Schizosaccharomyces pombe: one gene and its partners. The gene in region 4 interacts genetically with the main gene of each other region. Each region holds a gene or a part of one and is shown on either strand. Other genes may lie near its edges.

The links.
Region 1: mutations in def1 (region 4) and pdk1 together harm fitness more than expected from each alone (negative genetic interaction), as found in Schizosaccharomyces pombe (one large-scale study listed by BioGRID).
Region 2: mutations in def1 (region 4) and ubp2 together harm fitness less than expected from each alone (positive genetic interaction), as found in Schizosaccharomyces pombe (one large-scale study listed by BioGRID).
Region 3: mutations in def1 (region 4) and ted1 together harm fitness less than expected from each alone (positive genetic interaction), as found in Schizosaccharomyces pombe (one large-scale study listed by BioGRID).

The regions. Positions count from the first base shown.
Region 1 is NC_003423.3:3,112,445-3,119,845, reverse strand, and holds pdk1 (serine/threonine protein kinase Ppk21/Pdk1), read left to right. Parts: upstream 1-3,336; 5' UTR 3,337-3,459; coding exon 3,460-3,663; exon of another isoform or gene 3,664-3,766; coding exon 3,767-4,003; intron 4,004-4,057; coding exon 4,058-4,167; intron 4,168-4,230; coding exon 4,231-4,401; intron 4,402-4,451; coding exon 4,452-5,385; 3' UTR 5,386-5,615; downstream 5,616-7,401. Other genes in the region: alpha-1,3-galactosyltransferase Otg3, read left to right, coding at 1-619; proteasome core particle subunit beta 1 Pre3, read right to left, coding at 1,219-1,627, 1,811-1,943, 1,996-2,078, 2,122-2,177; SPOM_SPBC1778.09 (GTPase-activating protein), read right to left, coding at 5,878-7,122.
Region 2 is NC_003424.3:3,484,339-3,493,107, forward strand, and holds ubp2 (ubiquitin hydrolase Ubp2), read left to right. Parts: upstream 1-2,855; 5' UTR 2,856-2,986; coding exon 2,987-6,346; intron 6,347-6,430; coding exon 6,431-6,496; 3' UTR 6,497-6,761; downstream 6,762-8,769. Other genes in the region: hrb1 (RNA-binding and mRNA export factor), read left to right, coding at 340-360, 398-727, 903-1,004, 1,044-1,145, 1,244-1,636, 1,718-2,164; bsd1 (heavy metal ion homeostasis protein), read right to left, coding at 7,245-8,060, 8,129-8,146; tubulin specific chaperone cofactor C Tbc1, read right to left, coding at 8,754-8,769.
Region 3 is NC_003424.3:4,079,671-4,086,769, reverse strand, and holds ted1 (phosphoprotein phosphatase), read left to right. Parts: upstream 1-3,264; 5' UTR 3,265-3,994; coding exon 3,995-5,287; downstream 5,288-7,099. Other genes in the region: alpha mannosidase Mnl1, read left to right, coding at 1-1,750; apt1 (adenine phosphoribosyltransferase), read right to left, coding at 2,340-2,822, 3,001-3,084; protein adg2, read left to right, coding at 5,820-7,099.
Region 4 is NC_003423.3:568,256-576,478, forward strand, and holds def1 (RNAPII degradation factor Def1), read left to right. Parts: upstream 1-2,682; 5' UTR 2,683-2,805; coding exon 2,806-5,697; 3' UTR 5,698-6,065; downstream 6,066-8,223.

The DNA of each region.
Region 1 (7,401 bases), 2.5 Mb from region 4:
ATTTGAGCAAACACAGTTTGATAAGGTCTGCATTCTGGATAGCGATCTCCTAGTATTGAAAAACATGGATGACATTTTTGATACTCCCTATGTTTATGAATCTCCTGCAGAACCCGATATGTTTAGCTTTCCTATCTTTAAGAAGCCAGATGATGAAGAGGATTATCAGTTTAGCGACAATTTCGATGCCTATGGTGCTCCTCGCTCAGAATTCTATCCATATCTTCTTGGCGCATGTGACGATCGTAACCCTGGACATGCGACGCCCCCAGAAGAATCTGAAACTTTTAATGCCGGGCTGATGCTTGTTCATCCCAGTAGTCTTCATATGCATAGGATTAAGAAGATAGCACGTTATCCTTATATGTATGACGATGCTAGAATGATGGAACAAAGTTTATTAAATCTTGCTTATAATAAATATGGTTGGTTTCCCTGGACGAGGCTCGATTTTTCATATAATGGAGTTTGGGTCACCGAAGAGGACTTACCCTATCTTCGTGCTGCTCATGGTAAATTTTGGGAATATGACAACACGGAGTTTCCCCAAATTTTGACTGCCGAGTGGCATAAAGCGTTCGGAGAGTTGCTGGCTTTTCATGACTATGTTGTAGAATAAAAAATGAAGGGGGGCGTTTATCTTTAATGTTTTCATGCTTCATTATTTTTTTGTCCCACTTCCATTCCTTGACCTGTAACTACGGTGTACCTGTTGAAGAGCTTAATACATATCTCACCGTGTATATTCTTACCGTTAAAGTTTGTTCTTTTCACATAATTTCTGCATTCAATTTTAAACAAAAAAAGACACATCATATTTTATTCTTCTTTAGAAGGGTCTACCGGTGTTCGGACTAATTTTATATTTTACATGGCTGATTACAATTTTCTTGTATGAAGCTGATAATCAAAATTTTAAATGTGCTTGCAGGCATCTTACAACATTTTTACTCTTATGACAATTACATAGGACTCATAACAATAATATTCTTTCACTATCAACAATATAACTACACTTCGGTAGTTAACTGTAACTATAAAAAATCTTTCTATTTTAATCATCACAAAGACTTATCTCACTGACCAGAAAAGTAACTTTTCTTCATGACCTTGCACTCCAAAAGCTACAAATAATGAGACAGGCATTAATAAGGTCAAGTCTAGCATAAGCATTGGGTATCAGTATAGTCACGTAAAATAAAAGGAAACGTGAAGTACTTAGTGAGTAAATACGGGAATAGGGTTAGCAGTATCAATGGCAAAAAATTTACGCTCCATTCCATCTTTATTTAAAATGACCATTCGAATGGTACCACCACTGCTGCCATCGCGTTCCATGGCTAAAGCAACAGCGTTCTTTAAAAATTCAACAGCCTCCTCTTGGGTCATATTTTCGCGAAAGTTAGCATCGCAAAATCCATAAATAAAAGCAGAACCACTTCCTCCAATAGCTAAAGGTTGCTTATGCAAACTACCACCTAACGGAATACTGTAAACATCTCCCCCAGTTTTTTCATCATATCCAGCAACAATTAAACCTGCACTAAGCATATTTTTGTTTTGATAACACATTTCAGAAGCTAAAGTAGCAGCTGTATGAACACTAGGGTCATGGCCAAATTGAATACTTCATAATCGTTAGATAATTTTTTTAACAACAATAAAATGAAAAATAAAACATGCAAAAAGGCTTTAGTAATCATCTAGTAAACATAAGGACTTGAGAGTAAGTCGATAGTTTATTCTAAAGGATAAACCAGCTAAAGCAGCCTTAATTTACAGTCATTCGGTTCATTCAAGGGTAACTTACCGATACATGGAAAGATAGTATTTTAGAAGATCAGCCACAGTTTGCGTATCAGCAGCAGAACCACTGCGACAGCACCAAATATTGTCTGTCAGCTGAGTCAGCTTATCAGTGACACGATTTGCAATATATGCACCTAGCAACGTTAGAAATCAAAGAACGAAAAGTTCTGATATTCCAATACACACCCATAGTTGTTCGAGAATCTGCAGCAAGTATAACGCCATCTTTATAACGGAGCGCCGTGATGGTGGTACCCATACGAATTTCTCTACAAAGTCAGAACTTTCAAAATCAATTTCCCGCAATCATACCCCTTTTTAATAGCATTAATGTCAACATTCATAGTATCTTTCACAGTAGTGGCCATTTTCAGAAGTTTGGTGAAAGGTTAAAATGATTAGGGACTTGTGTATGGTATTGAGAAGCAGCCAAAATTTAGGTAACATTGCTACCTGCATATGAAATTGCAGTATGAATATAAAAAATTGTTATTCAATTGTAAAAAGTGTTGAAAGAATTCGTATATTTTTTAAGAAATTCTTTAACGACTATAGATAAGGGTATAGTATTAAAAATTTTTGATCAAAAGTTACAGCCGACTACAGAGTTATAACCATGGATTGAACTTGAAAGTGCTCAGCTAGAAATTAACATAGGAAAGAATGAAAGAATCTAAAAGTTTGGGACTAAAAAGGTTTCTGAAGATTTTGTTTTCTTAATATTTGACGACTGCTTATATTTGGTTTACTTACGCAAATAACATGAAAAAAACCATAGCTATTGAAGAATGAAAATAATATGACCATGATCTTTTAACAAAAAATGAAGATATTGGAAGTTCGACCTGGAATGATGTATATATATTTACGAGAATTTCTTACGACGGATCTTCTAAACTGTGAATTAGGTATCATGTTATGTTTCATTTCTAGCGAAGCAGAATTCCAAGCAATATTGAGGTGATAGGGGATGTTCCAAATTCTGTTAATCGCCAAATTAATTTTGGAATTAAGGCAAGAAGCATTTCATTAACTACAGTGTATTTTGCTTATTTTAGTAAGGCAGTATCCCAAAGACAACTGGCTTTCTAAAAATCTCTTTTGTTTAGGTGTCTGTTATTTCAACAATATGTACATATATATATTTATTTATAAACTATTTCAAACATATTCAAGCAATTTATTGCTTTTTAGAGCGAATATCGCCATGGATAGCTTAGCGTGAGCTTAAAACATTGAATTAAAAAAATTTTCATTGCCGTTCCAAATTGTATCGCTTTCGCTAATGCTATAAACACCCAAAGCAATTTTTTTGTACTACCATCTTCAGGTCATATCGAAGTATCATTAATGCGATGTAAGACTTTGATGGGTATGATAAGGCTATCAAGCTGCTTAATGAGCATTTTTTCTTTGACAATTCGACCTTTAATTTATTGTTTACATGGCATATTCTACGTTTTAAATTTATGTAATAATGACGAGGATTGGAGAAATAGGGTACTCTACTTAGTGTTTACATCCTTCACAGAACACAACTCCAAGGCCAGCAACTCCACAATTAAATGCACGGTGTTTCAGTTGGAATCGAACAGCAAACGTAAAGTAACTCAAACACAACTTCATTTTTCATGAAAACCTCTTTTATAAATGATGGATCTGGAGCATAAACGCATTAGCCGAAGTACATTGCCGGATTATGCGGATCCCGATTACTTCGAGGCTAGAGGTGAAAGAAATCCGGTAAAACCTCAGTCTTCCAACGTAGTACCAGGAACAAGTCATATAGGATCGATCAAATCTCCGGCGGATTACGTTTTTGGTGACATTATAGGAGATGGATCATTCTCAAAGGTAAGTTGATACATTGCTTCTCAGTTCAGAAGTTTTTCAACCGCAGGTCGATTAACCTATGGACCTTCGATTACTGACGAATAAGTTGTCTAATATTCGTTAGGTGAGAAGAGCAACTGATAAAAAGAGTTGGAAGGAGTACGCTATCAAAGTCCTTGATAAAAAATATATTGTCAAGGAAAATAAGGTTAAGTATGTGAATATAGAGAGAGATTCTATGATGAGACTTAATGGGTTTCCTGGTATCTCTCGTCTTTTCCATACATTTCAGGATGATTTAAAACTTTATTATGTGCTTGAACTTGCACCCAATGGTGAACTTTTGCAATACATCAAAAAGGTATATTTTTTCATTAGTCTATTCATTTTTCCTTTATTAACTAAGCTTTGGTAGTATCGTTTTCTTGATGAGAATTGTGTGCGCTTTTATGCTGCTGAGATTTTATCAAGTATCGAGTATATGCACTCCTGCGGTATAATTCACAGAGATCTCAAGCCAGAAAAGTATGTTTGAGTAGTGGTCATTAAATGTTCGTTTCCTTTTCCTAATTCTAACCTATTTTTTAGCATTTTATTTGATGGAAATATGCATGTAAAAATTACCGATTTCGGCACAGCCAAAATCCTACCCCCTAAATATGTAAATAGCCCTGATTACACTACCTTTCCAAGCTCCTTTGTTGGCACTGCGGAATATGTTGCTCCTGAACTATTGTCTAGACAAGTTGTTTCAAAATCGTAAGAAAACCTATTATCCCAGTCTATTTTTTTTCTGACAAATATTTAAGTTCCGATTTATGGGCTTTTGCGTGTGTTGTTTATCAAATGATTGTTGGTTCCCCTCCTTTTCATGGCAGCAATCCTAATAATATTTTCAAAAAGATAATGAGCCTGGAATATGAGCTTCCAAAGCTCTTACCACCTGATATCGTTCCTTTGTTTAGCCATCTTTTCCGTATTCAGCCATCTGATCGATCTACAACCCAACAAATAAAACAATTTCCTTTTTTTGCTACTATTACTTGGGACAATTTATGGACTCAAGATCCTCCTCCTATGCAGTCATTCCGGCCTAATTATAACATAGCCATTCCTAATGCTCCTGCTTATTATCGCTCAAATGTGACAGCCGCAGCTGCTGCTAATGCTGCCGCGGCATTTGCTTCTGCATCCATTGTAAAGCATCAGGAAACTGCTCGACGTCAGGAGCTTCCTACGGTAAATCGTTTCACTGCTCCAACTGCTCATTATGGCTATGCTTCACTTCGAAGCCATCAGATGCCTGTTGACAGACTTTATTACAAGTTGGTTCCATCGTCTGAGTCGATCATTGAATCTACCTCGGTCTTCGTATCACCCATTCCAAGTGTACCTGAGGGTAATAAGTTTCCATCTGGACTCTCAAAAATGTTTTTGAAAAGAAAGCAAAGGGTTATGCTATTAACTGATGTTGGTCGATGCGCTTTTGTTTGTAAAGGAAAACATGAGAGACTTTTTATCGAGATGGAGGTGAACTTGAAGGATTCCAGTGTTGTAGTGATTTTTGATGAAAATAGTTCCAAGCGATTCTTGATTGAAGATAAGGTCCAGTCCTGGATAATAGAAGACAGTTCCGGGGATGTCACCAAGTATAAAGACAAAATCCTTAAGTTTGCTGATGTTGCGTCTTCTCATCAATCTCGTTCTTCAGAAGAGAATGTAGAAGAGAACGAGGAAGAGTAACCCCATACCTTGTTTTATTTGATTTTTCAACCCATTTACTACCTTCTTTATATTTTATTATTTGTCGTCAGTGTTTTGGTAATATTTAACTATTTAAGCTATACATAATTAGAAATTACGACGCACCTAGGAAGTCGCAAGATGGAGAGGTATTATGTATACATATATATGTATAGTATTTATAATATATATACTTGAATTAATTTTATGTTAAAATTCCATTTCTTTTGGTGAGATGTTAAAATTATAATATTAGTAAGAAGAGAGAGTTAGATAGGATCGATTTAAAGCGCATACTCTTGATACCAATAAAAGTTTTGTGGTATCAAGGAAATAATGTTTATCAACGTTCCAAATTAAAACAGAAAAAGAAAATGATAAATGTTCAGGACCCATTATGCTAAGCTCTGTGATATCAATCCTCATCTTGTTGACATATGTTACATCATGTGGGCCACAATTAATAAAGCTATTAAAAAAGAGTTAGAAATATCAGTTTCTCTTACTTTTAGAAGAATTTTCAGAAGGCATTTTTTCCCAAAATAATTGAATTCTAGCAAGCAGGGCGTTATCGTTTTGAATGGGAATAACACCTGACAGAGCTTGCATTACTACTTCAAAGTCTGCATCAATTAGCGTGTCCCACATTCCTTGTATAACCGCAAGAGAAGTGGCTTGCAATAACCTGACAGTTTGACCTTTGCTTCCACCTAATAAAAACAGGAGATCCCATATACGTAATTGAGTATGGAAGGGCACGCATTGATGAAAAACAGTGAGATACCAACGTGTAGCAAAAGCAGATGGTTCTGCTCCAATTTCCGCCAGATGTCTGCCTGATTGTGTAAAACTTAACTCATGCTTAAGCATGTCAAAAGCCTTTAAAAGTGTATCAAACCCGGAAGAAAACAAGTCCCCCATGCCTCTATTTTCCAATAAATTTACCATCATTATAAATGCTTGTTCTTCGGGATAGTAAATGAGCAAGGTCGCAGCAATAGAAGCCATTCCTTGAACGTATCCAACACGAGGTATATAGAGAGCTACAGCATGAAGAACTCTAAATAGTAAACGTTGCCCTCCAATGTAGCGTTTTCGGAATAAGAAATGTGTAGCAGCTGTTCTGGGAACATCTAGGTCAATTTGAACATCATAGTCACAAATCTGCTCGTTCAATTGGTAATACTTGTCAATCAGTTTTTTATCAGGAAGAGAATCCACAAGAAAGGACCACCACGCAATAGATCGCCAACAATCTGGAATCCCCTTAAATGTACGTAAAATTAACTTACGAGTTTTTCGAAAAGAATGGAGCTGATTACCGGAAACGAGGTGTATTGAACACATCGATTTCCATTTTTGAATACGGGAAAGCTCTTTAGCTGATATTTCGTTGCGGTCATGCGACTCGCCGGGAACAACCATGAAGATGCTTTCATCAACGTACTTCAGCATGTCATCATGGCCGATTAATTTATTGCCAAGACGTTTGGCAGGGTTTGGTTTATCTAATGTTGGGTCTTTACTAACTTTATAGAACCCTAAATTATTAACATTAAAGTCTGAGCGATAGTTTCCGTAACGATCCACATTTTCCAATGACTCTTTTGTATCGATTTCTTGAACTTTTCCATTAATAGGTTCTGGTATATTTAAATTATTCTTGTCTTCTTGTAACCTGTACAACGACCGAATTCGTTGCAAATTGGTTGTTCTAGTTGGGGAAGGGTTTTCCATGCTCTTTCAGATATATCCTCAATTCCGTCACTCTGGAGAAAACAGATTACCTACTAAACTGTATTAAAATATCCAACACAGAAAGATTTAACAGGGGGGAATTGTTTCCGATGTAGTAATGTTTACGGTCCCAAAAGACCGTCTATCCCCATATAAGTCAGTACGTTAGATCCCAAAATCAAAATAACCAAACATGAAAATCTTTTTTTGACGTTTTTATAATTTTTCAAGCAATAAATGCATTCGTGCAAATGCTTATGAATTTGGTTCTCGCTACAA
Region 2 (8,769 bases), on a different chromosome or scaffold from region 4:
TTGTCTCTTTTTTGTTGATACAATTTATGCACAGTCTTTGAATTTTTCAAACACTTAATATTAACTGAGGTTATCTCTAACCCTAGTTATTGTTTGAGTTTCCATTTTTATTACGACTCATTTACAAACAACTAAAACTCCTTACTATGATTAATTAGTCAGTACATGTCAATATTTATAATTTAAATGTTTACAGTTTTTTTATTCTATTGTTCTTTTAGCGAATCTAAGAGTTTACAGTATATCACTTACGAAATTATATTGCAGTTACACTATAGAAGTCAAGTTGTTGGGATGCTTTAATTATGTGAAGATGCACACTCAGCTTATGCTCTTGCGATGCCTAAACCTATAGAATGGGTATGATAACTATTGATTGATTTAGCTGATCAAATAGAATGAATTTGATTCAGGAATGGGTAGTAAGTTGGATGTGTCAAGTTCCTTGAATTCATCGTCTTCCAATATGGATCGTGACAGATCGGAGTCTCCGAAGCGACATGTCAACGGAAGCAATTCATTGAAACGTGGCTTGCATTTTGATGGAGAGCACACTGAAAGAGACCCTCACTTGGGAAATGGCCAAAAGTACACTCAACAAGAGCGTCGCGTGTATGTTGGTAATTTGTCATATCAAGTTCGTTGGTTTGAGTTGAAAGAGTTTATGGGACAAGTTGGCAATGTTCTTAATTGTGAGATTTTGAATCTTCCGAATGGATTATCGAAGGTAAGTTTGCTTCATAGAGGGTGGGTTTCATGCGACTAGTAAATCATTGTCTATTTAAATTGTAACGTTGAATCGATCCAATTGAACGTTACTTTTAAACGATTACTTATGGCCTATAGCTTATCCTAAAATTTGTCGTATACTCAGATTGTGAATAGTCTAGCTAATATATCAGGGATGCGCGATAATTGAGTACTCTACTGCTGAAGAAGCGCGCACGGCAATTAAAACTCTGAGCAACCAAAAATTTATGGGCCGTCTTGTTTATATCCGTGAAGTAAGATTTTTTTTATGTCGCTTATTAACCTTCGTAAAGGATCGAGAACAAAATGCAAGATTTGGCTCCTCTTCAGTATCGCCTAGCGCGTCGTCGAATGGCAAAGATTCTGAGCCAGACAGGCAATTGTTTGTTGGTAACGTAAGTTCAATTTCTAATCCTCTATATTCTTTTCCTCGAACTTTGGTATTTTAATGAATTGTGGAATTGCAAATAAGAAATGGTACTAACGAGTATAGTTACCGTATAACGTTCGCTGGCAAGATTTAAAGGATTTGTTTAGACAAGCTGGTTCTGTTATCCGAGCTGATATCCAAATGAACCAAGAAGGCCGATCCCGTGGCATTGGGATTGTTGTCATGAGTTCGATGAAAGAAGCCATGCATGCCATTCAAATGTTGCATAACACTGATTTCATGGGCCGCACTTTAGAAGTTCGCCTAGATCGGTTTGCACATCATAAAAGTAAGCCGTATTCCACTCATGGAAATGGCTATACGTTTCCAGCGGAAATGCAAATGACTACATCATCCACCTATCTACCCATGTTAGGTGCTAATACTCAAGTCGAGGATTTAGTTTATCATGCGTATCCCCATGGACCCTGCTCGGATTGCATTTACGTTGGAAATGTATGTATATAAGGACGCTTTTGTGGGATTAGTTTTCCGCATCATTTTAAGTTTTTTTTGGAGATTACTGACTGAATATAGTTACCTTGGGCCACCTCAGATCGCAATTTATTGGACCTATTCACAGATATTGGCTCAGTCATTCGTGCCCGAATCGCCTATGAGCCCACTGGCCGATCTAAAGGTTTCGGTGTCGTTCAATTTGAGAATGAAAATGATGCAGCATCCTCAATTGAAAAATTAAATGGTTATCGTTATGGCGGGAGACCCTTGCAATTATCATACGCTCACTATGCGACTCCACTACCTGCTGTCCCTACTGTGCTCTCGGGTCTTCCTTCAGTCGCTTATACACCACCTGTTATGCATATCCCTACAACGAATTCACCACTAACGCCCCAATCTTTTACAAATTCTTTCTTAGGCTATCTACCGATTTCAATGCCCGTTGCAAACATGCCCGCTATTGCTCCTATTTCTGTAGCTTTACCCGAAAATAATATTGAACATTCTTTGGAGCCTTCTTAAAAATTCGCCAATACATCTGAACTTCTTTTCTCTTTACAATTAAGCACATTTCCGTAGTGTGAATGGCTAGCTCAGTGACGACATGCGCAATGTTCTAAGGCAGTTATCCTAATATTGTTTGCTTTTCTCTATTTTTTCTTCAAATTTTTGCTTTAATTCCTAATCCCCAAATATTCTTATTTTCCATGTTTATAGATTTATCTCTTTTGTTTGATTTCAATTTTTTGCTAAGATCTTATTCTTTTCCGTGACACACCAAAGTATGCTGATGGCATATATATTCGTCTCTCGTTCTTCTAATTGAAGTCTTTTTAATTTTAGCTTTACTGTTTTTTTACAGGATGCCTAGTTTCCTTCTTTTACAATTGCTAACCATTTCATGGTTTTAATGATATTTTAGATTTTTAGACTTCCATTCTGTTAACTTCCAGTTAACCAAGTTTAATCTTTATTGATTAACTACATTATTTTTAAAGTAAGGTGTATTTAGGTTAAAAATCTTATTTAAGCATAATGGTAAATTTCGTATAGCGAAATGTAGGTGTTGATTGTTTCTTACCTTCTTTAGTAGCCTTATCAATGAAATACAAACATTTACTTCTATCTTATTCCCCACATTCATAAAATTGATGGTCGCATACCTGGCTGGCATATGTAAGACGACAAGCATCATACGCATGAAGTCTACCTACCGAGTCCTTTACTCATGAAAAATCCTTCAATCTGTACGTTCTTTCCGTTTGGACGTTTTTTCAAGTATTTTTCATAATAAAAAATTTAAATTTCTTTATTAAAATTATTTACATCAAACTATAAAGAGGAATGGCAACTGTAAAGAACTTGCGAATTGGCAAAAGTCCTAATCGGTTGATTCAAGATTTAGACGTCTTTGATAGTCCATCAGCTGGATGGAATGATCCTTGGAGTCCTCATAGCTCAAGATATCACTGGCAGCTTCATTCAAATTTAGGCGAGTCCGCTGTATTTGACGAGAATGACTTTTGGTGTGTTTGTCAAAAAACTCGCAAACACTTACATGTGAAAGTCCGAAGAGACAGGGGGAAGCCATTAATTGAAGAGCCTGAAGAAAATTATGGAATAAAAGATAGGATTCCTGTTTACTACGAAGAAGAGGAATTACCTGAACCTCATGTGACTAGCCCTACGAAAAGTGAATTCGCTACTACCTCTACTTGTATGAAATGGAGTAGCAAAACAACAAAAAGTGAAATTGAAGTTGAATGGAGAGATAGCTATCTTGATGCTAATTGTATCAAAGAGATAATTGATTCCCGACGTCCATCATTTGCTTCCCTTTTAACTAAAAAATCGTCATCTCATCAAGGGTCATCCCATTCATCCCAACCTTCTCTTTTTACTACATTTACTTCTTTGGAGTTGTTTTTACGAAACGTGTTGGTCCATAACGATCAACGTGCCATTAGCGCTGCCCCGGAAGGAACTTTTGAGAGACATGTCGGAAAGGGCCGCCAAATTCAATCTTTGATGAAATCTCTTCTGTTTGAATATCACCACGAAAATGTAAATTATGTCCCTACCATTGCGGACGCTCCCCTTACTGACGAACAAAAACTTAATCTATACCTTGCTAGGAATGAACTTATTGTTTTGGCTAATCACTTTCGTGACACTAAAGAAGATCCGGCTATTGTTGCTAACCCTTTTCCCGTTAGGTTGGCTCGACCTGCTTTAATTAATGCCTTTGGCGTTCCTAACTATGATAGCGTGGTTCCCATGTATACCACAGTTTTTCGCGACAATTCGGCCTCCTTACCTGATGATCCTGCTTTTATAGCCTTGGGTATCACGAATGATTATCCAGACAGCTTTGTCCGTTATTTCTATGAGGAACAAAAAAAGAACGATGAAGCTAATGTTCGTGTTTATGCGGATGCGCTTGCTCATATATACAATTTACGTAAAAGCAGCTTTTTGAGAGATCTAATTGCGGCAGATAGGAAAAATGGAATCGTGTCGAGCGATGTAATACAAGCCGCTTATTCGAGTTTAGGACTTGAAGCTGAGGTAGGCCCGGATTACAGGTATAGTCAAGAAAAAATCTTTGAGGCGTTTCATTCTGCCCTCCTAAGAAAACCTGAATTTGCCAGAGCTATTAGGAACGATTTGGAGACTATTGGCTATGCAAGAAAGAGTTCTGAAATTTTAAATTATGTTTTGTCTACAGAACAGGCTTTTTATACGGTTAATGAAGCCTACCAATGGTTGGGCATTAAGTCTAACACCGAGGACGCCATGGTAGCTTCTGTGGCCTTAGTGAAATTTGAAGATGATAGCGACAAAGCCATCGAGGCCGTCAAATGGATAGCTGAAGAGAGAAATAGCTCCATTTTGTACGATTTCTTGGCTTCACAAGGTAGACCTTCCAACAAGAAGCCTAAAGAAGTGCCTATGGATGAAGATCTAGCTTACAACACATTAGGTGTTCAAGATCGTGCACTATCAGATGACGTTTTAATCAATGTATACGGCTTTGCTGTTGAAGACCACCCAGAGCAATCAGACACTTTGAGAGCAGCTTTGAAATGTATAGGAGAAGTTAGGAATTCGCGTTTAATCACTCATTATTTAGAACATGGAAATCTAGATATTCCACCAGAAGTTTCAAGTTTGGATACTCCGATCGGTTTGGAAAATACTGGTAATCTTTGTTATTTGAATTCCCTGATCCAATACTACTTTATTATAAAACCTCTTCGTAATGCAATTTTGGATATTGATGAAAACAAAGATCTTAATATGATTGAAAACAAGGAAGCTGTCAAGAAAGTTGGTGGACGGATTGTTACTCGAATTGAATTCTTGAGGGCTTTACAATTCACTTATGAACTCCGAAAATTATTTATTGAACTCATTACTTCAAAGTCATCGTCTGTTCATCCTTCTTCAGTACTGACATATCTTGCTTTAATACCTCTTACGTTGGACCAGGTCAAATCTGGAACATCCTCGGTTATGGATTTGTCATCGTCTCGAGAGTTGAGCAATTTGAATGAGAGATCTATCACTATTGACCCCAGAGCAGAAGAGCAAGCTCAAGGGCTTGAACAAGAACAAGGACAGGATGAGGCCAAAAGTCCAGCGGAACAATCTTCATCAGTTAATTTAATTGATTTTCCCATGGCCAATACTAACGGAGAGTCTCAAACACAACCTCATTACTTTGAAGTATCTGAAGAAGAAATAAACTCCTCCATGGATTTAGGTCGTCAACAAGATGTCTTGGAATGTATTGATCACGTTTTGTTTCAACTGGAAGCTTCACTTGGTCGTATTTCCAACTCAGAAGATCGTCTTGGCTCTGATAATGATCTTATACGACGTTTGTTTTCTGGCAAACTAAAACAAACACTAAATGATGCTAGTCAAGGAGTACGGTCTAACTATGAGATTTTTTCTCACTTGATCGTTGACCTTTTCGAGGAGAAACAAACATTGTATGATGCATTGGATGGTGTTTTTGAAACAGTCAATATTGATATGGGAAGCGAAACTGCCCAACGATCCTTGTGTATTACTGAGCTACCGATAATTTTGCAATTACAAATACAGCGTGTCCAATTTGACAGGACTACTGGACAGCCTTTCAAGTCTAATGCATTTGTTGAATTTGGAAAAGAACTTTCCATGGACAGATATGTTGAAGATACTGATGGGAAAATGGCACCTTTACTACAAAGGTACTGGGATCTAAAGCGTGAAATTATCAACCTTCAAAAACGACAACAGCTATTGTTAACTACAAATTCGAATCTAATGTCATCTGTTGATACATTGTCTATTCTATCTAAATGGGCTGCACAGCAGCAGGATTCGAGACTTCCTATTAATCCAAAACTTCCTGATATCCTTCAAGAGGAAATAAACAATGTTGTCGCTGAAGTGGATATGCTTAAAAAACAGGAAGCCAGCTTAAAAGAAGAAAGGACGCATCTTTTCGATAATTACATCAGCCATAGCTACGACTTGCTTGCTGTATTTGTGCATCGTGGACAGGCTTCATTCGGTCATTATTGGACTTACATTCATGATTTCGAAAACAATGTGTATCGAAAATATAATGATGAATATGTTACTGTGGTAGATGAAAGCGAAATTTTTGCTGATACTACGGGCAACAATGCTAACCCTTACATGCTTACGGTAAGTCGTTATTATTTCCCATTTGAGGGAAATAATCATTTTCTCAAATTTTTTCCAGTTTACATATAGCTAACATTTATCTAGTACATTAGGAAAGAGTATCGACACATAATTGAATGTGTTCACCGTGAACACAATCTTCTGCTTTAAAAACTATGTGAAGGGTAAAAACTAGGATGGATCATCCGTGATCAATTGCTATGAATGGAGGTTGGAAGTTGTAACGTTTTTCACGATATTAAAGCATGGAAGCTATGAATTCATATTTCAAAAATCTATTTATACATAAAAATTTAGTTATACTTTATACATCGGTACGGGTTAATAATCTATTAGTCTTTACTATAAAGAGAAAATTTTTCTATGACAAAATTGCAAAAAGTCTAGCAAAAAAATTGAAATGTAAACAAACGGCTTTTATTATTAAAATGGCGATTATCGCAAATTTTATTATAAGTAGTAATCTTTGACAAAAAATGTAATTAATAGATGAAACTAGTAGAAGTTTCCAATAAATAAGTCAATAAATCACTATAGAAGTACCATGGAAAAAACATAAAAGTAGCTGTAGAATCAATAGCAGGTTTTAAGGTAATTTGAACGAGCTTTGTACAAAAATACATCAACAGTGCCGTGAATGTGCCAAGTTATTCATCAAAGAGAGCGAAAAGTAAAATGATGCGTCGTAAAAAAAATCAGGTAGGGCAAGATTAACTAATAAACTAGGTATTTAAAACAAGGATCATCCGCCCATAAACCGAAATAGAAAAAGAGAACATGTTTAAAGAAAAAATGAAAACTATAAGGGAAATAAAATCTTAACACATAAACGAAAAAGTAAGGAGCCGATTATTTTGTAAAGTATACGGCCGCAACTAAAAGAACCTATAGATCGTGACTAAACCACTTCTTCCGGAGACGTTTCACCAGGTGAGTCTGTCCGACTAATGGCATTCTTCATACGGCGTATTCTGATGAACCCAAAGGTGTCTACTAGTACCAAGCACCACCCGATTATAATGAGAATAGAGCCTATAAGCTTCTGATGTGGTAACTCGTCGTAATTGTATTGATCGTCGTTATTCTCCATCCCACTCTCCGAAATCATTATGTAGCCACGTTGAAAAAGAGTTAAACTAAGTCCAATTTGAGCACCATAACGACCCAAATGAGTCGTCGATAAGACATATGTGACAAGAAATCCTACAAAAGGAAAGAGAATAGCGACACAAGCACTCCATACAAAGGAGAAACCAGTTCCAACGGACATCCCATCAATGTAAATCTCGTTAGATCCGTAATCTGGAATTACCATAGTGGTATCCCAGTAAGGAGGGGCGGTATCCGCAGCAGCCTGTTCATAAGAAGGGGGCTCCTCTTCCAGTTCTTCAGTATTAGATTCCACTGTGGGTTTAGCAGATAAATTAGAGAAGACACTATCAACGTGATGGCCATCTGCATGATTTGATGAAGTGCTGGGAATTCGATCATTGCTACTACGTACATGCCCAGAGTCGTTGCCAGGATCCGGCGTTGATAAATGTTGGTAAAAAGCTTCTTCTCCTTCTATTGATGCTCTGGCAGAGCTATATAAAGGTGCTGTTTCACTGTATTCCACATCGTCGTCTGGAGGCTCGAAAGCAGCTGCCAATTCCGATCGATTTGTAGACCGGTTTTCCGGAAATTCAGGTATTGGAGTATGAATTGAATTTTGCTAAAATAGATTTGTTAGACTGATATATCAGGGAATTTAAACAGTATAAAAAGAAGGCTTATCCTTACATTTGAATTAGTACTCATGGGAATTGTGATATCTTTCAACCCGTATATAATGAGGTAAAGTGATTAATGAACGTTCCCAAAAATTTCCGTATTTTTGTTTTTTAACCCACTAAATGCTCTTTGATTTTAAATTAACAGAGTGGTGGAAGAGTACAGGATGGATCGAAACCATGGTATTATTAATGATCGTTACTTGCAAGTAACAACTATATTCAAAATCTGTAGAGAAATCAGATTAAAAAAAAAATATGGGAATTGAGTGTTTTAGGTGACATATCAGAAGCTAAATTCCCGTTATAAATTATTTTTGATATCTATTCTTTTCAATAAACCAAACAAGCCAATTGAAATCAATGGCTTGGGTTATAACAATTAGTGATCAGATATGTATTCCGACAAGAAGTGGTATAAAAAGTCGAAAATGAGAAACAAGGAATCTCAAAGGATTTACTGATATAATCGACTTGGTGGTAAGATGGATGGATGACATGAATGATTAGAAAGGCGTACGAAAGAATATTAAATTAAAAAAAAAAAGCACCAACGAGTGTATGTCAGTAAAAGACCAAGCTAAACCGTTACGTATTTTTACTAATGGATGATTTTGGTGCATACATATAGAATTTTAAGCGTCAAAAAGG
Region 3 (7,099 bases), on a different chromosome or scaffold from region 4:
TGCGGCCTCCAGCCTGGTATTGGAATTTTCTATGCTTACTGCTTTGACTGGGAATAATAAGTTTAAAGCTTCTGCTGAAAACGCTTTTTTCTCCGTATGGAAGCGAAGGTCAGGTATTGGTCTTTTGGGCAATAGTATCGACGTTTTGAGTGGCAGATGGATTTATCCTGTTTCAGGAGTCGGTGCAGGCATCGATAGCTTTTACGAATATGCTTTTAAATCTTATATCTTTCTTGGAGATCCTCGGTATTTAGAAGTTTGGCAAAAGTCTTTGGAATCATTACGGCATTATACCGCTTCTCTTAACGAATATTACTATCAAAACGTTTATTCAGCTAATGGCATGGTGATGTCGCGCTGGGTTGATTCTTTGAGTGCTTATTTCCCTGGGTTATTGGTATTGGCGGGCGAACTGGAGCTTGCCAAGAAAATGCATTTGTACTATTTTTCTATTTATTTGAAGTTTGGGCAATTACCAGAGCGCTACAACTTGTATACAAAGTCCATCGAACTAAACGGTTATCCTTTACGTCCTGAATTTGCTGAGTCTACATATTATTTATACAGGGCAACTAAAGATGTATTTTATCTTCATGTCGGTGAATTACTGCTAAGTAATATCGAAAACCACCTATGGACTCCTTGTGGATTTGCGGCAGTAGAGAATCTAGAAAAGTATACACTTTCGAATCGAATGGAAAGTTTCTTTTTGAGCGAAACCCTTAAATATTTGTTTCTATTATTTGACGATGATAATCCCATTCACAGAAGTCACCATGATTTTATTTTTACGACAGAAGGTCATTTGTTTCCCGTGACAAATCAAACACGACTGTCTACCTCTCAAAGAATTTACGACGGTGGAGAAGTTTGTGTTGCAGAAGATTACGACAGATCTAAATGGCCAATGTTATATTCGTTGATAGCATCTAGAGACGATTACGATTATGTCTCTCATTTAGTAGGAATTGATAACAAAGCAATACCCTCGTATCTAATTGATCCATCGGGTGTTTGCAAGAGGCCAGAGTATTCCGATGGTTTTGAACTCCTTTATGGAAGTGCACTTGTTAGTCCTATAAAATCAGTGGAACGTGTAACCAATAATGTATACATATCCGACATTATCGGTAATAAACTTAAATTCGTTCAAAAAGAAGGTTCTAATTCTCTGTTTTTATACACTGCTGGAGCTGAATCTATAAATGAGAATGACACGGTCTTCCTAACCGATCCGGATTATGAGACCTTCACAAGACCTGATGCATTGTACTTTGATCGAACTATTGCTCAGCTAGAAAATCCGAACAGTGGTCAAAAAACGTTTGGAAAATTCCTTCAATTTGACAACGATAATTCTTTACCTTCAAAGGTTTTTAAGACAGTCTTGTTAAATAACAGTATGTGTCAAAAACCCTCCGATACTCTCGACAAAGATACAGCATATATTGCTCCACTTGGCAACTGCTCATGGGTGCAGCAAGCAAAAAATACCAATAAGGCAGGATTGTTAATTCTCATCACGGATGGTGAATTTATTAATCCGTTAGAAAATATTCATTCTCAAAACAGTCTATTCAATTGGGTTAAACCATACATCCCTCCGACTATTCTCTTAAAAAATGAAAACAATTTTGTTTCTAAATGGGCCAACGTCTCTGTGCGTCAATCAGACTTTGACGCCCCTTCGTACTTCCAAGGAACTCCAGTTTCAAACCTATATTTGTGTCTGAAATGCATAAACAGCTAGGAATAACGCTGTTTTGTGATTTTTTATTTACGCATGTGTATAGACTTGCGGTCATATATGCTTTTTACTATTTAAAAAATATTTGTGCTGCGTGATTTCAAAGCCTATAGATGTTTATCCATTCAATACTTAATAAAAGTATATTTGGATAATTCAGCTTTCTCTTGTAATTATACTTTTAATCGAGGGCTATATTATAACGTGGATTCGTCAATAGGCTTATAATAAGCTGAATGTATCTACCTATTTATATTAAAGAAAAGCGTGGTATTGACCATTCTAAAAATTATACCCTTTATGACCCTTATAAGCTTTTCTCCTTATGATGTTGCATCCTTTTTTCTTTTTTTTCATTTTAAGATATCGATTTCCACCCGATTTATATATATTTGCTAACAAAAATCCTACTTTTTAGAATACTAGTTGAAAAATGTATAACTTATTCAATTTACAACTTAGACTAAAAAAATCCTAGCTTGACGAATAAACCATAGAAAAAAACCCAGAACCCTAAACATTTATAAAAAAGGAATAAAGCAAATATAACGTTAAAAATTAGAAATGCTTATACATACTTCGAGTTCATAGTTTAAGCAAATTCACTACCATCAGGTGCTTCATCCTGTCCAGTAAGAAGTGTATAAGTAGGAGCCATAAGACGCTTACGTCCTTGAAGAAATGTAAGTTCTAAAAGGAAGAGATGTCCAACTAATTCACCACCCAAACGAGTAACGAGTTCATCAGCAGCCAAGGCGGTGCCACCAGTAGCAAGAATGTCGTCAACTATTAAGACTCTTTGACCGGGTTTAATAGTACCCTTTTGGATTGCAAAAGAATCAGTAGAATATTCCTTATTGTAGCTTACGACGACCAAATCACCGGGAAGCTTGTTGGGCTTACGGACAGGGACAAATGCACAATTTGCACGTAAAGCCAACGTAGGTCCAAAAAGAAATCCACGCGCCTCCAAACCAACAATCACATCAATGTTATTGAATTCAGTTTCAACGGCTTCAAGCAAAAGATCGATAAGGATGCCAAAGGCTCTGGGATCTTGAAAAATGGGCATTATCTAATAACATTAGCATCTTATTGTTTATAATTTAACAGAGTATTTAAGCAATTGCAAGGCGTAAAGATAATATAACCTCTCGAATTGTATTTTGGATTCAAACTTCACGCTAATTGAGCAAAATAATATCACCGTTCCTATCCAACCTCGCGCATTTCCTCCTTCTATAAAATCTTACATCTTCAAACAAGATTCCCTTTTTGGGAAAATCTGGATATTGAACAAGTTTATTCTTAAGGTAATTGATTCTATCGTCGGACATTTTAGTAAATTGCTATGTAAAAACTTCTACAAAAAAAAATAAATACTCAATTTCCGTTACCGTCTATGCAGCGAAAATTTTGGACTGCTGTTTTCAAGTAACATGTTACCATCCGTTTAATGTAAAAAACGTCAGTCATAATTCACCTATTAATACTAAGTAGTGTACCGGGTTAACTTTGGCAGCTAAGACGAGCTCTAAAAGAAACGTTTATGTTTGAAATTCGACGCTCTTTTCCATTCCTTTCTTCGTGAAAACTGTCAGCCACAACTCCATGTTTTGAGGTATTCCTTCTTTAGTTTGATATACACTTCAAGCAATTTCAGTCATATCCGTTGTTCATCATTAAACAAACTTCGGTCAAGATTATTAGCCGTTTTTTGCTATTACATTCAGTAGAAAGCTTATTTTTTAATTTGTTTAAGCCAGTTATACTGATACACTTGGTATTAATTCAATTCAGAAAAAAATTTCAACGGCAAACATCGATACACATTTTTCTAAGAACCAAGCTTCTTTTTCAGGAATTTTGAATCAATCATTTGACCATTGATTTGCAATCTAAATTTTAGCAGTGGGTTTGTTCGAATACTGCAGCTATACCTATAAATTACCCATTTACTAGCTTCATGGATTAGAAAAATAAGTTTTGTTGTTTCATTTGTGCTTTTTGTTTTTCTATTCTGTTCTGCTCATTTCTTGTTATTTGAAAGCAAATCTTTCTAAAAAGCTTTATTGACACTTTTATGGTGGTATACCATTTATATAATCTAGTAAGTAAAGCAAAAACCAAAATCTTACGCCTCTACATTACTCGTTTAGTCTGCTCCTAAGTAAAAATAGGCACTCCAAAAATCGCTCCTTCTCTCCGTTCCCTTTTTTAATTTACGTTGACATAATTAAGTCAATAATGTTTGCAAGACATCCGAATTTATTATGGTTGAACAAACAACTGTCTATTTTACATTATCTTTGCCTAGTTTTTTTAGCTGTCTACTATGCCTATCCTCTACTATTTGGCATAATGCCAAGAAAGCTGCAACTCGAAGATGAAAATTCTTTTGTTATTATGGGGGTTGCTGATCCTCAGATTGAAGGGAATCATAAAATCGAAGCAAATGGATTTTTTAAAGGCACTTTAGATCTTTGGGGGAATGATTTGTTTTTACGACACCTTGTACATATGAATCAGTTTTGGGGTCAACCAGATGCGATGATTCTGTTGGGTGACTTGGTCAGTTTTCAGCACTTGGATAACGAAGAATTCAACAAAAGAGCTAAAAGACTGAAAAAAATCACTGGGGCAAAAAACTTTTGGCAAGTAGGAAACTCCAGTTTACCAGCACGTACTTTTGAAAACGGTAACATTCCCGTTTGGACGATTGCGGGTAATCATGACATTGGCTATGGCTGCGAAAGTTCAGACGCACAAATTAGCAAATGGGAACAAGCTATGGGCCCGGTAAATTGGGTTTCGCACTTCAATGTTTCTAAATTTCCTGTCCGTGTGATCGGCATAAATAGCCTTTCGCTTGATGATGTTCAGTTTTACGATGCGAACCCTAGCGATATTATTAACAGTAAAAGTTTTTCATCATTAGGTATACTTGCTCTTTCAAAAGAAGCTAGGGATGCTTGGCAATTTCTTTTCGACATTGCTTTAGAGCCGTCTATTCCAACCATACTGTTCACCCATGTGCCACTCTACAAACCAGCTAATGTGTGTGTTGACGAACCGAGAATCGTTCGTCAATTGGATTTTCGGGTCAAGTCTCAAAATCATTTATCGTATAATACTACTATGAAAATTTTTGAATTGATTCCTAGCATCAAATTGGTCCTTTCTGGCCATGATCATATGGGTTGTGACTACGAACACCCGAACGGTGCCATCGAACATACATTACCCAGCGCAATGGGGTACTTTGGAGGAAATATTGGTTTTGTCAAACTGATCGCGACAAATGATGTTCTTACAGAGTCCTCCAAGAACACACCCTCGGTTGTTACATTTCTGATTCAAAAACTCATTGGCCAACGATGGAAGAAGGCTTCATTGAAACAGTCAAAATTCAGTTCCGACATATATGCCACTTATACCTTGAGTCACGGAGGACCATCTTATATTTGGTGGGCTCTTCACATATCGGTATGCGTACTTACCATCTTACGTTTATTGGTAATATCATTGCAACATATCTAACATTGTTGTGCACTAATTGTTCAAATGAACAGTTTTATATTTACACCAGCCTCTTAAACAGGCAATATATCCAGCCTTTAGGTGAATTTGAGAGAAACCAACCTTTTTTACCAGCCATTCTGCTGGTTTTTAACCAAGAACCTGCAGATTCATTGAATTAACGTGGTGCCTTAATTACATTTAACGTCATTTTTGTACTTTCTTGCAGTAGTGCTGGATGTTTATTTACACAAAGTCGACCAATGTTACCATAGTAACGCGACCCAAGAATGCGTTATCTAATTTAGGTGCAAATATAAATGTCTCTCTGGAATCCACAATTTTTCGATTGTTTTTGTTTACATCGATACAGTTTCCAGCATTGCCCCACTTTTGAGCATTAATACACTTAGGTCATATCAGAAACCCAAGTGCTATATTAAGTCGCCTTTCTCGCTTACTTTCTTTCCTTAACCATCTACTTTTAGTTGGGTATTCGTCTTGCTGAAGGCCTGTGCACTGCCAATTGCCGAACTAGGGATTTATTTGAGAAATGAGAAGATTAACCATCAGCGGGCTATTAATTAGCTTAGCCAAGCTTTGTGCTGGCATGGAAATTAATGTTCCTTCTTCTTCAGACGTTTGGACTAGTGGACATATTGAACCCTTGGAATGGAGTGTGGTCAGCACTGATCCCCTGCAGGCTAATGTCTGGTTAATAAACGAAGTTGAGTATCCACCAACAAGCCGTTACATAATGACCATCAATACTTTTGATGAAAATGCCACATTTCCTGCTTTAGATCTTTCGCCAGGTTATGGCTACCAAATTAGTTTTACGTCTATTCGCGACGACTCTGTTATTTACGCCCAATCTGGTACTTTTTATATTGTTGGCGGCGAAGGTATCTCTTCTACTACTGGTAGTACTTTTCAAAGCATGACTACCTTCACTAGTTCACAAACCAACAGTGGTCATGCTTCTGCTAGCACTTCTATTCCAAGCACTGCTATAACTGTGACAGCGAATTCTACCATTTATTCATCTGCTACTTCTAGTTTTCCATACTCTACAGACGTTAGTGTCTCGACAGGCACATCGACCGACATTGTAACCTTACCTCCGCCAGCGTCGAGCACTTCTTCGTTTAGCACCATTACAAACACGTCTATGATTCCCAGCTCTTCATCGTTTACTACTACTACAGGCTCTCCTTATTATAACACATCTAGTTTCTTACCTTCCAGTGTTATATCGTCTGCCAGCCTGTCTTCATCATCTGTTTTGCCAACGTCTATTATTACATCGACTTCCACACCCGTTACAGTCTCTTCTTCTAGTCTCAGTAGCTTCACTCCTTCCTATAGTACTAACCTTACTACTACTGGAAGTACCACTACCACTGGTTCGGCAACTGTTTCCTCATCACCATTCTATTCCAACAGTAGTGTCATCCCTACCAGTGTACCATCAAGTGTTTCTTCTTTCACCTCCAGCAGCAGCTCATACACTACTACGCTGACTGCTTCAAACACTTCTGTCACATACACTGGTACTGGTACTGGTTCGGCAACGTTTACCAGCTCCCCACCATTCTATTCTAACAGTAGTGTCATCCCTACCAGTGTACCATCAAGCGTTTCTTCTTTCACGTCTAGCAATAGCTCATACACTACTACGCTGACTGCTTCAAACACTTCTATCACATACACTGGTACTGGTACTGGTTCAGCAACGTTTACCAGCTCCCCACCATTCTATTCTAACAGTAGTGTTATCCCTACCAGTGTACCATCAAGTGTTTCTTCTTTCACGTCTAGCAATAGCTCATA
Region 4 (8,223 bases):
CTGTCAAGCGACTACACGCTACTAAGTCTCGCTGCTATTCAATCAGAAACGTACTTTAGTATCAATGAGGGCAAAACAATGTGTCCGTGCTTTGTAGCCAAACGTTTAAGCAGAATGTGCTTTTGGTGGCTGATGAAAAGTGGTGGATAATGAACTAGTTTTATTCAATGGCAACCCACAAGCCAACGAAAGTTCAACATTATATCTATTTAATTTACATATTTTTTAGAATTCTTTCATTGATAATCAAGAAAAATAAAAAAAGTAGGCTCACCTCTAGATACACAATCTAATATGCTTCGTAAATTTCGCAAGCTCAATGTTTATTTGGGATTAGAGATATCTTCATTATGCTTTAAAACAGTGCTTTTACATACTATAAGAAATTCAGTCTTGCCATTGTATTACATATAAACTGGTTTCCAATAGTTTCGAGAAGGGTCGATTTTGGAAAGGGTTGAAATCGGTTTAGTTTATGATATTTTCAATAATGTTAAAATACTGTTTGTCGTTTTAACTTGGGACTCGTCTTGGCTGATTTGAATAAACCACTGAAGTTTTTTGTCTTTCTTTTTTATTCCTCTGAATCGGAAATACTTTTCCCGATAAGCGTTTCGAATGAATAGAATTGAAATTGTTTTGTCCCTTTACTTTCTACTTATATAAAAGAAGACGCACTTCTTTTGGAGACATATTCTCAAACAACACAAAATATGCTGGATTGTAAATACTCAGTTTAAACACATATGAGAACTTAAAGTAAGATATCTTTATTATCAATTTATTTTATTAGCTTCACATGAAGGAATATAAATTACATTTATTTCAAAACCTGATTAATACTTGTTCGCAGCTTTAGGTATGTGTATAAATTTATTAAATATGCTTAGTAACTGTCTACGGCCACACCTAGGCGAAAACACCAGTTCCCGTCCGATCACTGCAGTTAAGCGTCTGAGGGCCTCGTTAGTACTATGGTTGGAGACAACATGGGAATCCGGGGTGCTGTAGGCTCCTTTCTTTTTTTTTCGGAATATTATTTTATTCTTACAATGTTAACGGCTTCACTGAATTTTTTATGCTGCTTTGTTGATGATACTGTAAAAAATAGTGACAAATAAAGATTTTGAAATATATCAAACCTATCTGTAAACATTTGAGAACAATTCTAGCGTACGAATTAACTTGTCCATATCTTGTTGTCATACGAATGCACTGTTTATTGTTCATCGTTGACAGTTTTCAATGTAAAATCAATTTTTTATTTGAGAAAATGGTTTCTAATGTGCCGCTTTTGTTAAAAAATTATAGTGCAACAATAGATAGATATGCTATTCCTTGAAATGTGGGTTTCTTTTCATTACTCTTTACAGTTTTCTGTTATGTTGTCGTTTTGAAAATGGACTCTTCACAAGAAGAGAGTATTGACTTTAGCAATTTAAACATAGAATCTTAGCACGTTTGATTTTATTATTTTATAATTAGTTAGTCATTTGAATTGCCAAAAATGGTGACTTAATTTTGGTTACTAACAATTGAATAAAAAAATAAAATAAAAATAAAAAGAAGAAAAATCAATATAAATTGCGAGATGATACTACTAAAGTTCACAGCAATTTTTTTTAAAAAACAACGAAAATTTGTAAAAAATGACAAAATTAAAGATGAAATAGTAAAATAATGCGAACGCTTCATCAAACCATTTGACACATTAGTTATAAGCATTGACAGAAACTTTGATAATAATGCTTTTAGAATTTATCTTAATATAACTAGGCGATTATTCAGCTGTACAATTTAGTTTTTTTGAATAAATTATAATGTTATTTTATCAATATTCTATGTTTTTATAACTCTACAATTAAATAGATATATGCTTTTTAATAGAGCATTCTAACAAGCTTTGGTGGTTTAGTGGTATAATGAATCGTTGCCATCGATTCGACCCGGGTTCGATTCCCGGCCAAAGCAATGTTTCTTGTTTTTATTGTTAATTTAATATTAGCAGGCTTCATATTTATTTTTTTAGATAAAGGGCATCACGTTTATAAGTGTGGTTCACTTGAACCCAACAAAGTGAATGAAGAGCTTCGAATGTTACTGAAGCCGCGTAATTAGAACGGATGGATTATTACTTGAAGCAGTAATTAAAGTTTTCATAAATTGACCAACTGAATACCCGATATTGCATTGCAAATTTCTAAACATACCAACGTGTTAGGAATCTGTAATAGCAAAGCATGGAACGAAAGGTGTTTAGTCAACTTGAATTTAGCTAAACGAATTGCACATCTTTTAACAGTATCGAAGAAATTGGGCAATAGAAAAGTTAATACAATGAGCTCTACTTTCATCATATTTTCATGTATTCAGGCAAGCAGCTAACTAGCTATTGTCTTAAGAGCAATAAAGATACACAACGGTAAATCGTTAAATACAATAGTAAACTGCACTCCACTACTATATAAATCAAGCTTTTAGAAAAGGTAATCGCAAAAATGAAGAAAAAGTAAAGTAAAATTTAAACAATAACATTGTTCTTTATAACGTTATAAGTTTTTCTATGTATAAAAATTTCAAGGAAAGCTATAGTTTGCACTTTAGCGCATTCACTACCACCTTGCTCTGGTATAGGCAATTTCCATTTAAGCAAAAGCACTATGCTGCACGACACCAAAACGCAGCCAGAACCACTACCCTTAAATAACACGAAAAATCTTGCATATCGTCTTGAAGCACGAATACACGTGCCTTGTCGATTTTCAAGACCTGTATTAATTTTTGTAAAGAAAAGTAGAATCAAAAATGAGTGAGAATAAAAAGTTTCGGCCAAAGAAGGTCGGAAATACCGAACAAGTTTCAGAAAAGCAACACACAGATACAGCGTTAAATATATCGCAAGATAATAAAACTTCATCCTCTTCCGCCAAGAGAGGAGCGAAGGGAAGGCGAGGCACCAAAGGAAAATCTGGCCCGGCAAATTCGTCTCAGACTAGTAATATAGAGGGATCAAATGCGCTTGAGCTCGAATTTGATCGTGATTCGCAGTTAAGCGTATTGCAAGAGCTGTTTCCTAGCTGGACGATTGATGATTTAAGTTTTGCTTTAGAAGAAGCGGACCGGGATTTGGAACTGACCATATTGCATATTACTGAAGGTCACGCCTCCAAATGGGGTGAAGTTAAAAAGAAGCCAATCCCTAAAACAAAGTCCAAACCAACAAGTCATGCTCCAGTTTCCGATAATGTCTCTTCCACCTTTCGTAATGCTACACGTAAATCAAAGAAACCTTCCGCTTCTAAGGATACTTCTCGGGGGGTTCGAAAATCAAAAGCAGGAGCTCCCTCAGATCCTTCTTCCGTTCATGCACCATCCTCTTTAGAAAAGCCTGCTGGTACTGGCGATCTTCCTTCCTCAGAAATTTCTACCAAAGCTCCTGCATCAACGACAGTGTCTTCTTCCGTTGATCCTGGTACTATTAATGAAGATTCCTCAATGAAAGATCATACTACATCTAATGAACAAGCTTCAGTTTTAACATCGGCTAATACCGCTGCTTCAACAAATACGAACGGCACCGCAGGCGGTACTTCGGCCTCAGCAAAGTCGACCAGTGCGGCTGATCAGGCTGTTGCATCTTCAAAGCCTATAAAGAAGGCTTGGGCTTCAGTTGCAAAGTCGAAGAAAAAGGTCACTCCCGCTCCCGCTCCCGCTCCCGAATCCGAACCTTCTAAACCCTCTATCGCTCCTTCTCAACCCTCTAAAACTAATGTTTCCGCTGCTTACGAAAAACCTGCTGAACTGTCATCCTCATCTGTTCCTTTCCCTCACAAATCCCAGGACTCTGCAACTCCCGCAAATGTTGAAACGACCCCCTCCACAGCTACCTCAGCTCCCAAAAAGAGTACTGCCCCATTTGCCATAAATGCAGTCAAGCCCGCTCCTGGGCTTTCCAACATCTCTTCTGCTTCCCTACCTAAGCCCTCCTTTGCGAAGCAAGCCGCTGTTGGCTCTCAAAGCTCTACAACTAGTATGACTACTGCTCGATTACTTTCTGATAGATTCCCCGTCGTTATGCCTGTTGCTAATACTGCTGCTATTCCCGAAAAGGTTCAAGTGCGTTTCGGAAGCTTGACACTTGGGGGTGAGGACAAAAAATCGACAAAGTCTTCTTCAGACAACATAGCACAGTCTGGACCAAGAAGTTCCTATTTTCCTAAAAAGACAGTTTCACCAAAGCCAGAGGCAAAAAAAGAGGCGAGCAAAGTTGCTGAATCCACCAAAATCCCAAAGAAACAACACACTTCAGCATATGAAAGCCGTGCTCCACAATCGAAGGTTCCCGAAAACTTGAAGGAATCTCATGTTAACGAGACACCATATCGTGGTTTACACGATGTAAATTTACCGGCCAGTGGAAACGCCTCTTCTGTCTCGGCCATCCCTCCTCAAGTATCAGCCCAAACGACTATACCCGCTGCATCCACAAGTGCTACAAGTGGCCCGGTGGTTGGTAAACAAAGTGCCGGATATGGCGGTATTTATTCTCCTGCTACACATGGAATTTCCCCTCAACCATATGCTGGTGCTAGTCTTATTCCTCCGTCTACCGGAGCTGCTTTTAACAACGAAACTGCATCTTCAAATGCTGGGGAGACAACTGCACTTCCATATTCTTCTAGATTTATGAATCCTGTGGAAAACCGCTCCGCCAATAGCCCATTCGACAATTTTCAACACATCGACCATAGTACTGAATTGGGATATGCTTCAAATACTTCTCAACAATATCAACAGACTAGTCATCCAGCATACACTACTATGTCTCCTATTGAATATGGTCAAGCTGCACCAGCAGCTCATTACTATAATGAGCGTAATCAATACTCACAATATGATAATGTCGCTGGTAGTGCGTCGAATACACCAGATGTGCACTCGGTAATGCATAACAAGGTTGCATCTTCTAATGCTACTTCTCTACCTGCTGCTGGAACAGCGACTCCTAGCCCTGTTGTTTCTCAACAACAGCCCCAACCTTATGCATTTCCTCCAATGTATCCTATTCCTTATGTGTCTTATGGATACGGTACGATGCCTTACAATAATAACAAGTTTGGACAGCCCCAGCAAGGATACATGTCTCAGAGCGGCTTTAATGATTTCCCTCCCATCTTTGGTGGACACAGCAACGTGTACAACAGACAACAGCCTGGCAATGTAAGTGGTATGAGTGGAACACAAACTAGCAACCCAATTAATAATGCCACTGCAAATACTAGCGGCATGACTGAGAAAGCGGCTGGACATCGTGACTCTGTGATTGGAAATGGAGGCGTAACCGGGGCGAACAGCATGTCAAGTACTTTGGGTGGTTTGTCTTCCATGTCAGGGATGGGACGTGCGGCTCCTGGTATGTTTATGGGTAATGTTGGAAGTTTTGAAAACCTTAGTGCCAATGCGGCCTCTCCTTATGGCTTACCTCCTCAACAAACGCCATTGACCAATGCTGCTACTCAGCAGACAACCTCTTTTCAAAGCAATGCTAACAAGGTCAACAATGCAAACAGCCAACCCGCTGGGTTTCCGTTCAACTCTGGAGCATCTACCAATGCAGGTAGTAATGGATTAGGAGGCTATAATGCATACAACCAGTCATTTATAAACCGACCAGGAGGTTGGTACGGTAATGCTTAAATTGAACTTATGATCAAAAAGTTTGATAACGTAGAAGTTGGAAAATGCTTTTTATAAGGATTCAAAAATAGGCTAAAAATAATTGCGGACAAGATGCTATTAATGGAAGGGTAAAATCGATTTTATTGGGACAATCGAATTTATGAAGTTTTTCAATATATATATGTGTGTGATTTATATGGCTATGTGGTCACATGTGTTTTCTGTTTGATAGTGCTTAATTATGTAGTTTGAAATGTTGCTTGTTCATATCATAACATATCATACCACGCCGTAATGTTGCCATTATATGGTAATTCCTTGTATGTTCATAGAGTATTTTTTTATTGCATTATTAAAACAAACTGGCGTTTTGGAAGAGGGAAAGGGTAAATAAAGATTTGATGTTAAGGTATTTGTAGGTGTGGGTAAGCAATGCGAAGTGGGATAACTAGTTTCAAGTAATGATTATTATATTTCCAAAAGTCAAGTGCTAATGAAACACGTTTAATCAGTTGGCAATTTAGGGGGGTGGTTCACTCGGCATTCCTATTTTAAACAATTTTTGACGGCAAATGTTAAGCGAATTCGCTAAAGCAAAGTGTAAAAAAAAAAAAGCTTCGCTAGTAATATATGCCACACTTCAGTCAACAACACTACGTCAACCCTATACGCTAAGTCTACTGAATAGAAAAACTTGATACTTTTATTTACATTGAAATGAAGAGCAAATTTGTATAATACGTATTATTGATTCTAGAAATATAGCAAATTGAAACATCCAAATTTAGCAAAACAGCATGTCGCTGTTGTAAAATTCTCATGAAAAAATAGAATGTCTAACCTTCACTACTGGCAAGATTCGTTCATGTAGATGTAGTTGAAGAAGAGACAGTGTCATACACAAACGTAGAAAAAGTTCTGAAAAGGAAAAAGACTCCTAGTAGATTATAATTCAAATCAAATCAAACCAATTAAATTCAATAGATCGATGTCTTGAAACATTAATTCCTATAAGGTTGAAAATAGTAGCAATATAACGCAAAAATAGCGAGTCGTAATAGCAAGTAAAATGGTAGTCATTATAAAGGGTTAACTGTATTTCAAGTATAAAGAACGGAGAAAGTTGGAGCAATGGCAATAACACATCGAGGAGTAATTTAGGAAAGTAGTGAGAAAGATGTTAGAAAGGAAATTTAGTAATTTGTAAGTAATGATTTCAGAACTTGGAACGTGAAAGGGAAAAAGATATTTTCATCATAAAGAAAAATTTGCCCATCGTGAAATAGAGAAATAGTGAGAAGAAAACCACCACCGAAATAGCGAGACCCGCAGTATGTTACTTCACGAGTCTCGCTATTTTAGGATTGCATAGGTTATCGGATGGAATCCAGTAAACAAATGGGTAAGGAAAAGTGCGATCAATGATGAGTGGGTTGGGTTACAAATCAATATAGTCAGGTGAAATTAATTCGTTTCTCGATATAAAAGCAATTGAGAAAGGAATTGGATAAAATTTACAGAGAATTAAAAAATGGAGACAAGAAATAAGTGAAATGGGAGTGAACGCTCTTGTAAAAAAGCTATTGAGACAAGTGAAACGGTGAGAGAATGCGTTGACAAATGTGAAAGAAAAGAGAAAAGGGAATGAATATTTATAACAAAAAAAGGTAACAGGATTATCGATGAATTTTGGGGAAAATTTATGTTGAATTGCATGACTTTTTAGAAATCACGCCTCGAATACCGTTAGACATATCATGGTAAACATGTGATTTAGGAATTGGCACATGTAAATGAGGTTGTTGGGTAGAGAGCGGATTTGAATGGTGGTAGATAATTTAGGGTAAATTTGGGATGGATAGAGTAAATGTGAAAATAGTATGTAGGATGGCGGGGGATGCGTGCGAAAGAAAAAGAACGATGCGAAATGAATTGTAAAGTATGTGACTTGGGATGATGCGAAAAAAAAAGAGTCTGGAATAAAATTTGAAGAAGAGAAGAAATACAGTAGGTGGGAGTGCAATGAATTGAATTGGAAGCGAGGAAGCGAACAAAATCGATGGATAACAAGTGAATGAACAACAAAGTGAATTTAGTTTAAAGTCAATTGCTTTGTTGAAAATCAATTTCCTCTGTTTTATCAAGTGTGCGAAGGACAAAGGGAGTAAGAAAGATTCAAAAAAAAAAAAGAAAAGAAAAAGAGGAATTCCTTTTATGAGACATCCAGTTTGTTTGCGAGAACGCCAAGAACTCAAGCGAATATGGAGAGACGACGGTGAAACACGGTATGTTGCATAGTGTAGTGCGGGGTGGATTGCAAGGAGAATGGGTAAATTAGCAAGCGAGCTGGACCCCATTACTGTGATGCATGAGGTAACGCAATGTGCTAAAATGTTTTGGAAAGAATGACACTCTACGTTAGGATAGTGCACGTTGTTGACACTGCTCGTTATGGAGGACAAGGAAGAAACTAGTTCGGCCGTTTGAAGGGAATGGGAATGGGAATTGAATGAAGAAAGAATGGATTGAAGTAGTCAATTGATT